4 linked regions of the Saccharomyces cerevisiae S288C genome follow. Changing the gene in region 4 together with the main gene of any one other region gives a genetic interaction. Each region holds a gene or a part of one and is shown on either strand. Other genes may lie near its edges.

What was found.
Region 1: mutations in SKG1 (region 4) and ARD1 together harm fitness more than expected from each alone (negative genetic interaction), as found in Saccharomyces cerevisiae (3 studies listed by BioGRID, with this or other methods).
Region 2: mutations in SKG1 (region 4) and NEW1 together harm fitness more than expected from each alone (negative genetic interaction), as found in Saccharomyces cerevisiae (2 studies listed by BioGRID).
Region 3: mutations in SKG1 (region 4) and PTK1 together harm fitness more than expected from each alone (negative genetic interaction), as found in Saccharomyces cerevisiae (2 studies listed by BioGRID).

What each region holds. Positions count from the first base shown.
Region 1 is NC_001140.6:130,230-133,428, forward strand, and holds ARD1 (peptide alpha-N-acetyltransferase complex A subunit ARD1), read right to left. Parts: upstream 1,218-3,199; coding exon 501-1,217; downstream 1-500. Other genes in the region: retromer subunit VPS29, read left to right, coding at 1-219; SPO13 (Spo13p), read left to right, coding at 1,818-2,693. UniProt on the Saccharomyces cerevisiae protein: Catalytic component of the NatA N-terminal acetyltransferase, which catalyzes acetylation of proteins beginning with Met-Ser, Met-Gly and Met-Ala.
Region 2 is NC_001148.4:119,759-125,870, reverse strand, and holds NEW1 (New1p), read right to left. Parts: upstream 4,105-6,112; coding exon 514-4,104; downstream 1-513. Other genes in the region: ALG5 (dolichyl-phosphate beta-glucosyltransferase), read left to right, coding at 4,704-5,708; CET1 (polynucleotide 5'-phosphatase), read right to left, coding at 5,840-6,112.
Region 3 is NC_001143.9:67,674-72,069, forward strand, and holds PTK1 (putative serine/threonine protein kinase PTK1), read right to left. Parts: upstream 2,548-4,396; coding exon 559-2,547; downstream 1-558. Other genes in the region: PEX1 (AAA family ATPase peroxin 1), read right to left, coding at 3,061-4,396. UniProt on the Saccharomyces cerevisiae protein: Essential determinant for low-affinity spermidine transport.
Region 4 is NC_001143.9:638,397-641,968, forward strand, and holds SKG1 (Skg1p), read right to left. Parts: upstream 1,573-3,572; coding exon 505-1,572; downstream 1-504. Other genes in the region: SIR1 (Sir1p), read left to right, coding at 2,144-3,572.

The sequences.
Region 1 (3,199 bases), on a different chromosome or scaffold from region 4:
GGCACTGCTGGGGAACGTGAGAATGAGAATGAAAGCAACGTTAAGCCTGAAAACCAATTTAAGGAAGACGAGGTTGATATGTCAGATTCGGATATAAATGGGTCTAATTCACCAAGTTTCTGCCTCTTGGATATTCAAGGCAATACCTGCACGTTATACATTTATTTATACGTTAATGGAGAAGTGAAGGTCGATAAAGTGGTTTATGAAAAGGAATAGGGTAGCCATTTTCATTTTTATGCATTTCTATGATGTCTAAACATTAGATGCATTCGTGAACTTTTTCTTGCAGACGAGATAGATGTAATTAAGATATCCTATCTGCCGGATATTACATATATAAAAAAAGAAAGCTTGCATGCACAGTTTCCTTACTATTCATGCTCACACAATTCTACCGAATTAGCACTGCAGTGTTTAGAACCGTGCTCAAAAAGAGCTAACAGAGCTTGTGAAGAAGCCTGGATGAAAATATACTACGTTTATATAGGTTGATTTAATTATACAATGATATCATTTACGCCTTGCTTAATGATATCCTCTAGTAGATCGCTTTCTAGATCGTCTTCTAGTTTTTCCTCATTCTCTTTCAAACGGCGATGGGTGAAGTTGCTTATCTGCAACTCCTCTAATTTTAAAACCTTCTTCATGGCGTATGCATCTTCACCATCCTGATAGTAGCTTTTCTCGATACTCAACACCTCAAACGCCAATGTGTCCCTGTACAAGTGTAAAGCTGCTCTATTAGATTGTCTCACATGCAAGGAAACATATTCCGCTTGATGAACTTCTCTCAACGCAAATAAAGCTTGTCTCATTAAGTTTTCGGCAATCCCCATCCTTCTATAGGTTCTCATGACACTTAAGGAAGTAATATGACCATTTGGTGGCTCGTTTTGCTGGTCGGGGTCGTCGTTCATCTTCACGAGAACGTATCCAACTAATTTTTCGCCCGGAGCCAAGTATGTTGGATCCAACTTGATTGTCCTGCCGTCATTGGTCCCATCTAAGGTCAATTCCAATTTGTCGTTCTCATCTTGTTCATCACTATCTTCACAGTCCAAAGTGGTGGTAGTAGCAACAAACGAAGCCTCTGGCCACGAGAGAATATGATACATATAATATTTCATCATATAATTTTCGGGTAGGTTATGAAGGTTGGCATTTTGCATACATATAATGTCATTGATTGTCGCTCTGCGAATATTAATAGGCATGGTTGACGAAGTTTTATTTTGGAGCTTGATCGTATGTATTTAGGTTTCCCTTTTCACTTGGCAATTACTCGTTGCTGACAAAAGGTTTCAAACTTTTCAGACGGTGCTTTTTTTTTCTGTTCAAAAAACCAATTGACGCGAGAAAGTGAGGATTGAGCCTAGAGATCAATAAAGACAAATTAGCATTGGATGCAATACTACTAAAGCAAGCGCTTTAAGAGAAAATATTTGTCCTGGAAGTCTCATGGAGATTATACTTTATGAATTCTTTATCTCCGGGCAGAAGGCACTTCAGCGTATCATTTGTTCCATGATATTTTCTGAATAAACTTCAGAATTATAATACACAGTATTTACACATCTAATTTTTGACTACAGTATAATATTCAAGCTTCTTGATTTACCTGCAGTTATGCTTAAATTCACATTTGAATTCTTTAGTATCCGTTTAGCTAGTTAGTACCTTTGCACGGAAATGTATTAATTAGGAGTATATTGAGAAATAGCCGCCGACAAAAAGGAAGTCTCATAAAAGTGTCTAACAGACAATTAGCGCAATAAGAAGAAAGAAAACGGATTGAAGTTGAGTCGAGAATAATTATGGCACCCAGAAAACGCTTTAGGCTACTCGAATTAGGGTCACCAACACATTCTAAAAGGAAAGTTCAAAAACCTCTTCAAGAGAAGACCCCAAACTTGCGAGTTTCTCCACTTGCTTTTAAAATTGGTAAAGAAATCAAGAATAAGGAAATCAGAAAAACAAAAAAAACAGAATCAGAAAATATATTCAATTCGAAACATGTCGATTTAAGACTAGAAAGCCCACATCCAGGATTAAATTTTGTAAGTGATGCTCAACAGTACTCAAAGGCTGGAGATGTTCGATATTTGAAAAATAAATCAAGCAATACCTTGAAAAACGAAAGACAAACAATAGAGCGCCCCTCATTTGATAATTCCTTAAGGTTCGAGGACATTGAGCAGCCTCCAAAATCTACTTCAACGCCGGTTCTTTCTCAATCTTCTCAAATAAATGTAGAAAGAGAAGCACCCATGTTTCCAGTTCCTTACTATATTGCTCCTTCTCCTATGTATAATTTTAGCCCGTATCAAAATTTCGTTGGAAACCCAACGTTCCTGACGCCAAGTCATAACCCAAACCTAAACTATGCCATTCCCATCCAACGGCCGGAGTTGCTTTATCCGAATGTTAACGTATACGATTCGCCATTGTTTAAGAAAACAAGACTGCCCCATCAGACCAAAAGTCTAGATAAAGAAAAAAATTACCAATATCTTCCAATATATCCGGTCTCGATTTCTAATAACGGAGATTTTGTTGGCCAAGAGACACCAAGGGCAGCACCAAAGTTAAGTAAAAAGAGACTTTCAAATACATTGGATGTTAATTGTTCCGATTATGAGTCTAGTGGACAAAATGCAACTTATAATGATAGTGAGTCTTCCCTTAATTAAAAAGATTAGTTTACTTTTTCTGTAGAATGTTAATTAGTTTATTGCATAGAAAATCTTTAATACTGAATGACAAAATTTCCACAATTTTTTTTAAAAAAATTATCGACAACTGCAGGACTCGAACCTGCGCGGGCAAAGCCCAAAAGATTTCTAATCTTTCGCCTTAACCACTCGGCCAAGTTGCCACTTATTATATAAGTCGTAAGCATAATATCAGGATCTTATGCCTTAGTATAAGTCAATTGAAATTGCAATCCTTGTATGTTTTATATTAAATTTTGGGTGAATAATTGGATAATTGTTTGAAATCCATTGTTGAAGAAAGGCTATAATATTCGTACACAGAGTATACTAGAAGTTCTTCTCGAGGGTCTTGGAATCCACAAAAAGGCGTCGATAAATCTCCATAACTATATTACTTTATCCTATTACATTATCAATTCTTGCTTTTAGCTTCTATTGTATTTGATAAAATATTTCGGCTTCTTTTATGTGTATGCGATTGC
Region 2 (6,112 bases), on a different chromosome or scaffold from region 4:
GGACAATTTCTTCAACAATGTTCATTCATCTTTAGTTTAATGAGGGATTTATAAGGTGAAAGCCAGTAGTAAAAGTGTATTTAACCCCTTTAAATTATCGCAAACTGTGCCTAGCAGTTCAGGAGTTATTTTTGGTATACTTTTGGAGCACGATTCATAACCTCATGTAAGAAATAATAATCAATCTTCGTGTATTTTTAAAATAATAATCCTTAACAACGACCTCTTACATAAATTTGTAGTTCAACATCGACAATTGTTAGCATCAAAAAGGATCCCTTAAGTTTAAGTTTACATAATTAATCTGCGTACCGTACATATATGAAAAGAACCAATATTAACTACTCTGTATGAAAAATGAATTAACCTAGAAAACAAAAAAGGAAGGAGAGCGTCATATGCTTGTCCTAAATTCTATCAACGTAGTAAACTCCATTTGAGGAGTGAATTAAAGAAAAAAGATGGAGTGAAACAAACGAAGTTAGCGAAGATAAAACACTAGCCAGTAGGCTTTCAATCTTCTTCATCGTCAGTATCAACTGGTTTTGGTGTACCTTTTGGCGATGACAACCACTCAATGTAACGTAGACGACGACGTTCGGCTTGCAGCTTCTTTTCATTTCTTGTCAATCTCTTCTTTCTTTGCTTGACCTTGATGTTAGCTGGAGAATCATCGTCATCTACAGATGGCTTGGCCAAGTTGGAGGCCTTTAGACCAACGGCATCAGCATTACCACCATCTTCGAATTTGGATTGGTCAACTTGTGCAGAGCCCTTTTGAACCATTTTACCGTTCTCCACAATCCATTGTTCAGGACATAAAGCACCAACAAATTCGTTATTATGCGAAATCATAACGACACCACCACTCCAGTCACGAATAGCAACGGCCAAAGCACCAAGAGAGTCTCTGTCCAAATAGTTGGTAGGTTCATCCAAAACAAGTAAATGAGGGTTGTTCCACATAGCACCGGCAATAACGACTTTAACTAATTGACCACCAGATAAAGAACCTAATGGAGTATGGTTAGCAATTTCAGAATCAAGACCAACGTCTTCAAAATGTTTGGTGATAACTGAAGGAATTAATTCACGGTAACCCAACCCTTCTCTGGAGGCTTCGTGATCGTCGAATTTTTGAACCAATTTTTCAAAGCCATGCTCGACCAAAACATCTTTTGGAACCCAGGAGTTGTATTTTGGTTTCCAGTATTTCCATTTGACCTCATATTGGAAAGATTTTTTCAACTTTTGTCTACCTACAATAGCTTCAATGGCTCTCTTACCTCTACCGTCATCAATGTCGATTTCCTTTGTCATCATTTCCTTTTCATCTTCGGATATTTTTCTGGATTCCTTCAATAAGACTTCACGGTCGTCACCGAATTGATAACGCCATTGCAAATATTGGTTTGCCGTCTTTTCCTTATGTTCATTGACGTGTTGCAATGCATGCTGAGCAATATAACCAATACGTAAATTTGGATGTTTTTCCACTTTACCTTCATTTGGAACCAATTCACCAGTTAATAGCTTGATCAAAGTGGATTTACCAGCACCGTTAGGACCTAAACAAGCCACACGAGAAGACAGAGACAATGAACAGGAGACATGGCTTAAGGAAGGCTTTTGGGCACCTGGATAAGAGAAAGTTACATCAGTCATTTTAGCGACGGCTCTAGTGTTAGACTTAACACCTGTTAAAATACCTGGGGGTGGGAAACGCATTTGAGCATTAGAATCTGTTAAGGTATAGTAAGATTTAGCTTCAGGTTTCTGCTCAACAAATGCTGCCAAGTTACCTTTGTAGTAAGCCAATTTCTTGTTTTCATAATGGATGATGTCAGTACAGACTGTATCTAAGAAACCAGAGTCATGCGAAACAATCAATGAAGTAATATCAGTATGTTCCAGTAAGTATTCTTCTAACCATTTAACGTTCGAAACATCTAAATGATTGGTAGGTTCATCCAGCAATAAAATATCAGCTTTTTGTAACATAGCTCTTGCCAATTCCAACTTCATTTTCCAACCACCAGATAAAGATCCAACAGTTTGTGCTCTTCTCTCTTCATCAAAACCGACAGATTCTAAAGCGGCTGCAATTTCCTCACGAGAAGTAGATTGCAGTTCTTCATCTAAAGCAATGAAGGAAACCAAGTCTAAATCACCTTCTTCACCTTGCAATTTATGTTCGACGAAACAGGTGCGTAATGTATCCTTGTCAGGAAAACCATCCAATTGACCATTAGCAATTGCTCTCATTAAAGTAGACTTACCAGCACCATTTCTACCACACAAACCGTAACGATGACCCTTTAGGAGACGAAGATTTGTTTTGTTCAAAAGCATTCTTGAACCATAAGCTAAGGAGAAATCAGTGTTGACAATCTCAATACCTTCGTCCTCATCTGCCCTTTCCTTTTCTTGGTAGAATAAAGCTCTCAAGTTATGGATAAAGTCTTGTTTGACAAATTCTCTTTGTGAATCTGAACCACCAAAAACGGCGGTCAAAAAATCTTCAAGTCTTTTCCAGTCGTTCACATTAGAATCCACGGTCAAAATCTTGCTCATATACTTGATAACAGTTTCGTCATTCATGTAAGGCTTGACAAAACAGGAATCATCAGCTTTAATGTCCTTGAGGTGATCAAGTAAGAAATCCCTACCTTCTTCTAAAGTCAGTCTGCCTGAGAATTTGTTTTCCTTATCAGCTTCGTCATCTTCTTTTAGAACGTTAAGGGCCTTTTCAGCCAATTCACGAACTTCAGGTAAGGACGCAGTATCAACAACCTTTTGGATACCGGGTAGTAGTAGAGGGATGAAGCTTTCAATTTCATTACGATTATTCACCAATCTTGTCAAATTCTCCACGACAATAACGGTTTGTCTTAATTGCTCTTGAGATGATGACGATAGGTTTAAAGATCTGTTTAGAATAGGAACTAACAAAGATAGTGAAGGTTCCGTAACTTCAGCGACAAATGTAACACTGGATAACGATTTTACAGATTCAGGAACCTTAGATGGATCTTGCAGGGTGTCCACGATCAATTTATAACGAGGAGACAAATCTAAGTTATCCAAAATAGAAACGTAGTCCAATAAAGTTTTGTAACCTTGTTTGGCCAATTCAGGTTTGAAATCAGTTGCTACATCGGTTAAAACTGGAACTGCATCTTTGAAAGTAAGTTCCAATAAATCGTTCGCCGAATCTTCTCTTATTCTATCTACAACGCTTAGAGCGGCCATTTTAGCTTGCCATTTGGCACCAGATGATAAGTAATCCAAAATCGTAGGCAGTACAAAACAGGTTAAAGCCTCCATTGGAAAGCAATTCAACAAAGAATCAATGGCATGTTGCGCGGCACGTTTGACTGTATTCTCTTTATCTGAAATACAGTCAAGTGCGACATTGAAGAATGGTAGCAAGTATGCTTCCTGTGGTGGCTTTCCACTGAAAAATTGAGCAATGTTGGAAATTATTAGCATGGCAGATTCTCTAACTAATGATGGATTCTTAGGTTTGATGAATTTAGATAGAACATCGACGATTTTCCACTCTTCAATTTTCTCACCCGTACTGTTACCTTCTTTGCCAAATTCTTCAATGATTAGTTTGATTTGATTTTTGCAATCAGTGATACTTTGACATTCAGGTATCTTTGACAAAAATTGAGAGATGGGTGTTAACTCTAAGTTCGACAGCTTTTCATTCAAAGAGGTCAAAGATGTAGTAGAAGCAGATGGAGTTGGAGTTCCACTTTGGTTGGGCGTCACAGCCGATTGTTTGTAAGTAGATTTTTGATAGCCCTGGCCATTGTATTTATTATAGTTATTGTAGTTGTTATAATTGTTGTAGTTGTTGTAGTTGTTGTAATTGTTGTAATTACTGTTATACGATTGGTAACCACCTTGTTGGTAGTTGCCCCCCTGTTTCCAATTACGCTGTTGTTGGTAGCTACTTTTTTTGGAAGCGTTATTACTACCGGCATCAGCAGCAGGGTTTTTAAAATAACCACCGAAGGGAGAAGCGACTAGATTTGGGTCCTTTGGTTGGTCGTCAAGGAAAGAGTTTAGATCCTTAAACTTCTTTGGAGGCATCCTGAGTTGAATTAGCACTGATTGTCGTTGTATTTACAGTTTACAAGATATAAATTATGCACTATAGATCGACGCATATGTATTATCTTAAATAGGTTGCAATATATTATTATTTTTTAACATTTATTGCGATGCTGCTGAAAATTTTTTTTCCACCTTGAAACTTTTCTTTTTCCATTGAAAAATTAGATGTGGTGTTTGGGTTTATTCCATTTGATCTTGTAACTTCTATACTAGTCACAACTAACAAGTCCAAAGTCAAGTGTACATAGTTATCCTATTTTCACCGTTATCACTTCAGTACCTTTTAATTTATATATATTAATGCACATGGCTCTGTTGTATCTTTCGAAGCAGTGTATGCCATTTTTTTCATGAGAAAGCGAAATTTGGCGTATTCGAAAAAAAGTGTAAACAAGAAGAAAACGTGCCAATTTTCAAGGCTTTATCGCAATTAAAGTGGCACAAAGGACCATAGTCACTGTGGAAAGGTAGTGGTATCTAATTGGATGCTGTAAGGATAGATTAGGTGCTTTTGATAACGTAAGAAAGGGACAAAAACAGAGAGGCAGCCAAAAATTACACAAAGCACAACAAAAATGAGAGCGTTGAGATTCCTGATTGAGAACAGAAACACTGTCTTTTTTACGCTCTTAGTAGCCTTGGTGCTTTCACTGTATTTATTGGTCTATTTATTTTCGCATACACCAAGGCCGCCATATCCAGAGGAGCTCAAATACATAGCTATTGATGAAAAAGGTCATGAAGTTAGTCGTGCCTTACCTAACTTGAATGAACACCAAGATGACGAAGAAATATTTTTATCTGTTGTTATCCCAAGCTATAATGAGACAGGTAGAATTTTACTAATGTTGACAGACGCAATCAGCTTTTTAAAGGAAAAATATGGTTCCAGATGGGAGATTGTCATAGTGGATGATGGTTCCACAGATAATACCACACAATACTGTTTGAAAATTTGTAAAGAACAGTTCAAATTGAACTACGAACAATTCAGAATCATCAAGTTTTCTCAAAACAGAGGCAAAGGTGGCGCAGTGAGACAAGGTTTTTTACATATTAGAGGTAAGTATGGTCTTTTTGCCGATGCTGATGGTGCTAGTAAGTTCAGTGATGTAGAAAAACTAATAGATGCTATTAGCAAAATTGAAACGTCTAGTACAGATCTAAAAACGACTAAACCAGCAGTAGCAATTGGTTCCAGAGCACATATGGTAAATACCGAAGCCGTCATAAAGAGATCAATGATAAGAAACTGCTTGATGTACGGTTTCCATACCTTAGTTTTCATCTTCGGCATCAGGTCTATCAAAGACACACAATGTGGATTCAAATTGTTCAACAGAGCCGCTATATTGAAAATTTTTCCGTATTTGCATACAGAGGGTTGGATCTTTGACGTTGAAATTTTGATCTTAGCCATCAGAAAAAGAATCCAAATTGAGGAGATACCAATTTCCTGGCATGAGGTTGATGGCTCTAAGATGGCTTTAGCTATTGATAGTATCAAAATGGCGAAAGACTTGGTTATTATAAGAATGGCCTATTTATTAGGGATATATAGAGATAATAAGAAATGTTAGAGTAATTATTTTTATGTTATTATTATCATTATTATTATTATTACATAAGCTTTCATAACAGCATTTGAGTAAACAAAAAAAATTTCTCGCTCAAGGGCATTTGCTTATTTTTTTTTGAAATGATTCAAATATTACATGACTTTCTTTGAACCTTCAAAAATTTCATATGATAAAGACGATAACTTTCTTCTAATAATTGTACCATTATTCAGAAACGTTCTAATAAGAGATGCATATTCTTTACTATCGTTCGTTATGTTATCAAAGGCGTTTAACAGTGCAGGCGTGTTGATTTCTAGTTCCACTTCGTGAGTGGTCTCTGATTGTCTACTTTTTGAATTTTGGTTATGATTTTCGACTTTTGTAATATCAATTCTGGTACAGGAATCATTATGAATGTAACT
Region 3 (4,396 bases), 570 kb from region 4:
GATCAGGACGTCTCGAGAGCTGATATCAAATTTGAAGCCACGCAAGTAACTACGTAGGTCAGAGGGCACAAGGAATAACACGTGACATTTTTCTTTTTTCTTTTTTTTTTTTTTTTTTTTTTTTGTTAGTCTTGGCTTCTGTGCCGTAGTCTGTATACGGTTTTAGATGCGGTATGTTTATCATCGCCCAGAAATTTGCGGGGTGCAAAGAAATAAAATCCGTGCTGAAACCCGTGCTGAAATCCGTGCACCGCATCAAATTTTCTCGGAGGATTCTTTGCGCCGGTTTTCATTTTCTTCCACGGAATACCAAGCCCATTGCATCGCGATGTTAGTTTAGCGGAGTTTCTTGGCATTGGCAAATCTCTGCTAAATGCTGCGTACAGACGGAAACTCACACCGCCGCGAAGACTGGTCAGTGGCAAAAAAAAAATAAAAATATAGAAAATAACTATTACGTATGTTACTGTTTCTGGTAGTTGATATGAAGTTGGAGTTGTATATTGTACGCTTTAGGAACAGGGAAGTGAATATTATTTACTCTGCTGCACATTCTGGCTAGGTCGAAGCCGGAACTTGAGAAGACGCCGCGCTAGAACTATGGACCAAGCTGTTGACAATGTTCAGATGGTGATGCACTACCCTGTGCGGGGAGTGGCCACGGACGCGAGCGGAAGGTGCGGAAGGTGCGGAAGGTGCGGGAGTTGCGGGAGGTTCTTCGCTAAGCGTGAGGGTTGCTAGCTGGGGCGGCGGGGTTTCCCTAAGTGTAAATAAGGCCTCGGCTGGCACATGAGTCGCCGGAGGAGGCGGCGGAGGCGACGACGCTAAAACCGTGGCCGTTGGGGAAGGATGGGCGGCTATATCTACCATTGACCTGATGGGGACTCGGTTCTTAAGGAATGGGTTTGAGGTGGGTGTGGTTGCAGCAACATCTGTAGCGATATGGAAACCCCGCGGATTCTCGTACGTAGTGGTTTTGATAATAGGTTTCTTACACACATATTTGTCGTTGGCATCAACACAAGTCTCAATTCCTTGGAACCATGGGTCTTCGAAGAGGTCGTCGATGGTGTAGCGGGTGGCGGCTTCTGGGTCAGCGAGCCGCCATGCCACGCGAGATGCATGTCCGTTCTTGAAATTTCTAGCCAAGTGATACTCCATTCCCGGCCCCGGGCGGTAATTGCCGCGATTGCGGAATGCGCGATCGTGAAGACGGATAAAGTTTTCATAAGCGTCACAGTAATCGCGGAAACCAGTGTCGAAGCTGCAGGATTCCAAAAATGGAATGACGTTGTTGACGAGGGTCATGAGGATAATACCCAGGCCATAACAGTCTAGAGCGCGTGGGTCATACGGCTGTTGCAATTCCGTATCGTAGTGCTTCTTGGAGTCGTAGAACATGACCTCCGGGGGAGCATACGGCGGCGAGCCGATCATCCCTGCGCACTTCTTGACAGGGCTGGACAGGTCGTGTGGATCCGTGTGGTACCAGTCTGAGATACCAAAATCTGTCAGCTTGCACACGCCGTCCGGGGATAGCAGTACATTTTCCGGTTTCAAATCACGGTGGGCGATGCCCTGATCGTGGCAAAACTTGACACCACACGCCACCTGTTTGAATATACAAAACTTTTCTGCTAGGGCCACGCTGCGCCAGCCCGATTTTTGTATCATCGCGAACAAATCTCGTAGACCTAGCTCCATGACGAACCCCCACCCGCGAGTGGTGTAGACGGTGGTGGGCACCTTGACTAGAAGGAAAGTATTTGTGATGTGAACATGATGACTTAGCTGCTTTGCGATGATAAACTCCTTTGAGCAGCGCTTGTAGAATTTCTCGGGCGTTTCATTATAGATCATATTGAGCTTCTTTAGAGCAAATACGTCCTTCTTGCGGTACTTGGAGCGGATCTTGCGCACTTCGCACGAACCGCCCCATCCGATGGTCTTATTCTCATCATCAAAGACGAAGTTATCGCTCAACTGGATGCTTGCCTCCTTCATCTCGTCGGGCAGATACTCGTTTGGGTCCACAATTGGGATCGGCAGCATGCGGATTTTGGAATCCCCATCGTGAAGGTAGAAGCCCAGATCAGGGTCTTTCTTCATGGAGGTAGAGACGGACGAGAGTGACGTGCTTGGGGTTGAGACGCCGTATGGATTGTACACTAATCGTTCGCTACTGAACTTGGAGTTTGAGAGATTACGCGAAGTGGACGAATGTCTGTTTCCTCTTGAGATGGACGTGCTGGAGCCGGCCGGAGGTAGGATCTTGGTTGAGGCGGAAGATAAAGATCTCTTGCTGTTGGTTGTGTGAGCGAAAGAGTTTGCACGGCGAGAGGTTTTCAACGAATTCGGCAGTTTTGGGCTGGAGGATTCGCTGTCATTAGTACTTGTAGAGTGGAAGTCTGGAGGTAGAGACGCCTTTTTCTTCAACTTGTTCCCATGGCTTGAACTTAACAGCTTCTTTCCGAAGAACTTAAATGCTGATACCGAGGAGATTGGTTGTTGGGATATCTTCGTAGAATGATTGTGTGAGACTGTCATTGGTTGGTGGTGCGATTTAATGCGTATGCTTGCCTGTGGCGTTAAAATGGTCTATACGTTTATGCTAATATTTCTTGATGTAATGCAGGGCCTATGAATACATGGAGGTTTGTTGCCGGTGGTATACGGTTGAAAAAAAAAAGAAATAGATATATATATATTTCTTCTTTGTATAGACTTCTGCGAGAAAAAGAAAAGATAAGGAAAAATGAAAAAAAAAGCGTATAGGTGCTAAGAAGAATTAAGTATCAAAAGGTAGCAGGCATTTATGTTATATATGCAACTTCGGATTTCGTTCAATACATCTTGACCGGTCTCCACTGTTACTGGCATATTTCTCGGGTTTTTCCTTTTCACCACAAGGGAAAAAAAATGCGTTATGTAATTTCACCAATATTTTTCCCGTCCTGCGTGCTCGCACAATACAATAGGGTCATGTCACGTAATAAGCAACGTGCGCCGCATTTTTTGCCCTTTAAAGGGAAACGCGCTTTGTTCTTTTCTTCTTCCTTTTCACATAAGGGAGAGTCGGCTACCAATGTCGATGGAATTCTCACCATTGGGCATCTCACCGTTCCTATCCTTCTGGAACCTATCGTAAATCCCCCTTAATTTGACCAACTCACTTGTTGAAATACTAGGTTTTGTCTCTTGACAGGCTTCCAATAAATCGTTTATTGTGACCACAGCTGTCAGCTCAGAAGCAGCTGAAGTGCTTGTCTTTGTCTCGTGCACCACATCTTGCTGCAATAGAGTCTTTAGCCGTAGTCTATTTTCTTCTCTACGCCCGTGCTCATTGATACTGAAGTATTCTATATTATCATTGCCGGGTACCACTTCCGATTGGTCTGCAGCAGACAGCCACCTATGTACAGATTTCAAATAAGCATTGTAGCAGAGCCCCTGTAAATCAGCACCCGAAAAACCAGCTGTCTTTTCAGCGATCAACTTCAAGTCTGCATTTTTCTCCAATGCAAATTTTTTTTGTCCCGTATCCTTGTCTTTTGAATTGACGATAGCTTGCAAGATATCTAACCTCTCTGATTCAGTCGGTATATTACAGATCACACTTTTGTCTAATCTTCCCGGTCTTAACAATGCGCTATCAATCAAATCAGGTCTACTTGTAGCTGCTAGTATATATACACCATCAAGGCCCTCGGCACCATCCATTTGGGTCAATAATTGATTGACTACACGGTCTGTGACACCAGTGGAGTCATGCCCTCTCTTTGGCGCAATAGAATCGAACTCGTCAAAAAATAGAATACAGGGTTTGACGGACTGTGCCCTTTCAAACAATTCTCTTATGTTTTGTTCGCTGGCACCTATAAACTTGTTTAAAATCTCTGGTCCCTTAACGGAGATAAAGTTTAACCCACATTGTTGTGCCACGGCGCTCGCCAGAAGCGTTTTACCACAACCAGGATAACCGTAAAGCAAGATTCCTGATCTCAATCTTAGGGGACAATTAACGAAAATAGGCTCATATTTTGTGGGCCACTCTAAGGTTTCTAGAAGGACATCTTTGGCATTTGCTAAAGCACCAATATCCCCCCATTTGATGTTCGTTTCTTTTGTTAGCTTTACTCCACGCAACGCAGATGGTGTAAACGCACTAAGCGACTTCGAAAAAAGTTCCCTTGTTACAACATTATCACAATCTCTTTCCAACTGCAAGTCGTAGAAAATCTTTTCTGTGAATATTTCCAAATCTAGTGGCGAAAATCCTTCTGTCTCCAACGACAAATCACTGAATTGCAAATCTCGATTTAGTTTCATGATCTGGTTTTTCGAGAAAAAATACTCCAGTAACTTCGCTCTTGCATGTTTGTCAGGTGCTCTCAAA
Region 4 (3,572 bases):
AAAAACGTGTAGTTTCATGACTCGCATTTTTTTTTTTTTTTCTTTCATGTTGATTAACATACTTGAATTCTGTATTTAAGCTGTATAAAAAGTTGTTCTATTTCATATACGGCGATTTTGCATAATTAAGAACTTTGCCTTGTACACTATTTTACTAGGGTATTCTTCCAAGATTTCTCTTCTTATTTTTTCCCTTTATAAGTCATTGTAGCAACATAATTTCCTGGAAATTTTAAGGGAATATATTTCTTTCCGCCCACAAACACAAAGGGCGTTTAGTAAATTATGCGGCGATGTATAAAAGAGAAAGCAGGCAAAAAGAAAATGAAAAATGAGACTATGAACTTTAAGAATTATGTCTTGACTAATTTTTTAAAACCCATCATCCATGAAGAGTTCTGTTTGTATTGTTTACGTTTGATGTTTGAAGTGAATTTAATAGAATTGTTCCTCTTTTTTTCTTCTTTTTTTAACTATAATATAATGTTTAGTATATCAACAGTACTATTTAGGCCTTAGACTTTCTATGAACTCTCTCTTACTCTGTGAGTAGTTGGTAAATTCGTTTTCGTATTGATCTTCCTCAGCAATTTCCCCGATATTGCCCACATCATAGTTATTCTGTAATTTGTATAAATCCTTATCTTTATCTGTTATTGCAGACCTGCTATCCTTTACCGAGTGGTCAGCATCCATTCCTTCGTTATCTTTATCAAAAGTGTTTGGTAACTGTGATTGAGCCGCACTTTTGGGTGTTGCAAACACATCCTCTAGGGCATCGCGCTTATTTACCGATGTTATAGAGGAATTCCTTGTATGGAAGGACGCGTTTGAAATGTTACCATTTAAAAACGAGGATGAAGCTCTCCTTGGGTAATACGAACCAAAGTCCTGATTCTGCAAATTTCTTATCAGATTTTCATTACTAGATTGGCGAGTATTATGTTTAAGTTCTATCATCGAAGCTTTGTTTTGGTCATTGCTAGTATTAGTATCACTGGAAGGATCTGCGAAAAAGTTTGGTCCTTCATCAGAAATAACAGGGACCATCTGATCATAAACGCTGATCTGTCTCTTTGTTATATGCCGTTGGGAAGATGATAAGGAAACATTGGAGCTGTTATTTATACTTGGTAAATCCACAACGGACTTCTGCCTGGCATTATTGCCGTAGTTATTATTTCGTACTTGAAGTAAATTTATTTTCCTACGGTATGCTGGCACATAGTATTTACTATTCTTTTTCCCTAACGGTTTCTCTTGATCTCGCGATTTTCCATCTTTTTCTTCTGGATGAGCAGATCCTTCCGATGAACCAGAAGTGTGATCAGGATTTTTTAGCTCGGAGCTGGCTAGTGCTGCTTCATCTTTACTGTCTCTTAAGGGTCCAAAATTGTCAAAGGACACGAAACCACTTTCATCATAAATAGCCCTTTCCAATTCTCTATCGTCTTGTTCCTCCCTCTTGTATCTTTTTTGTAGGTTAAACCAGAAACATACTGCTATTATAATACCTACACCGACGGGTATACCCACCGCACAACCCACCGCAACTGATGTGCTGGCAGTCATCTCTTTTACTTCTTACTACGATGAGCTCCCAAAAAAAAAATATATCCCTGATAAATAACACAAAACTAAGAAGCCGGACCTAGGTGAAGAGTAAAATAAGGACTCGAAATTTTGTCTAATACTCAATAACTCAGTACAAAAACTGCCTCACAGTATAAAATATCCAACTTAGAGATATTCGTTTTAATTGTCCCGAGCAGGCAAACGATAACTGATCCTTAGTCACAATAATAAGTCTATGCTTTCTGTTGAAAAAGAACAAATAGCGAGCGAGTCAGCAAGCAGAATCTAAAGAGGCTTGCAACGAATGGTAGGCAAAGAATTTCTAACCCGAAACCTCAAGCGAATGGTGGATTCCTTACTTCCAATCTTCTAAAAGTCTTTAACTCTGATTTCGAGGATCAGTACTTTTTCTATGGTTTATTAATATCGGCCTCGAAAAGTTTGTCGCGAGAATTTGGGCACATGTGACCCGGAATGTATATTGAGTAATATAAGAATGAGAACAATAATGTCAATAATCACACGTCGTTATAAGCAGCTGAAAAATTATAAGATAATATCAAAAAAAATGCTACAGATCAACTCCAGGCTTGCAGTTATTGATGGATGGCTGGTAGACACTGTGAAGCGAAAACCAATAAATTTTCGGAGTCCTGAAGTAAGATTACTGTTACCCAATGACGATGACTACAAAAAGCTATCACAACAAAACTTGGTGGACTGGACGCGATTAAAGAAGGATTCTAATTCGGTGCTCGTTGGAGTGAAATCTATGGAACTATTTAAACACATAAAGCTAGTTTTGCGAGAGTTTTTCTTGTTAGAAGATGGAAGAATAATTCTGAAGAGGATCAGAAGCAAATTACGTTACAAAGTTGTCAAGAAATTAACTTGTAAATGCTGCAGGTTATATTTACCAAAATGGGGCACCGTGTACATACATCCGATGCTAAAAGATAAAGAAAAGCCCTTAGCGGGGGTATGTGAATTTTCATTGGATGTAAACCCTGATCGGGAGTATCCCCTTATTGAGATCAATGTTAGTCATCAATACATTATAATTGAGGGCTTCCTTCTATACTTAAATGAAAGGAGGCTCTATAGGTGGAACGATAACAATTTGAGGAGTCAGGTTGGCTTAACAAAATGGGCCCATTTAAGAAAAACTTACAATCCGGTAAGCCTTGACATACTTTATAGTTTGAATTCAAATTTTTATTTTGTAAAGGATGATCTGCTATTTCAATTATTAGGAAAGAGGGTATTTGTTAAATTTTGTAAAGTAATGGAAAATGGAAAATGCGGTAAGGCTCCACTGTGGTATCGTGTGAAGAGAACGACAACTGCCAAAGCAACACATATTGCATATGCCATATCAAATTCAACAGCCCCAGATTCATTCAAAAGTAAAAATAACGATTATAGGTTTATTGTCAGGGAAAAGCCAATTGTGGAGAATACTATCTCCAACCTGGATTATTCAGACATAAAAAAACAGCAGTTTACTGAAGCAGAGGTTGTAAAAAGAAAGATCTCAGCAGATATTTCTCAAATAGAGAATGTGCATACGCAATTTAATAGTCAAAAGGAAAAAAATAATATCAGGGTGAATAAGGTTTCTAGCGAGGTCCTAGATCAAATTTCGAAATTTCCTGTGTCCAGAGTCACCTTACTGTTGATGTCTGCTGGTCAAGATAAAAATTATATTGAACTTGTTGAAGAATTGGCAAGAAGGTTGGAAAAAATATGCATAGAAAAAACCACACAATCTTTAGAAGAGATAAGGGATACTTTTCAGGCGAATCCTGAGATGCAGGCTAGCTTTGATAAGGAATATTACCAGAGCATTGAAGAATATAAAATTACACTCGAACTTATTAAGGAAGACCTTTTGATTACTCTGATAAAACAAATGGAAAATATGTGGGCAGCTGAAAAAAAGTTTAGTACAGAGGAGGAGTATGTTTCGCCGAGGTTTTTAGTAGCAGATGGATTTC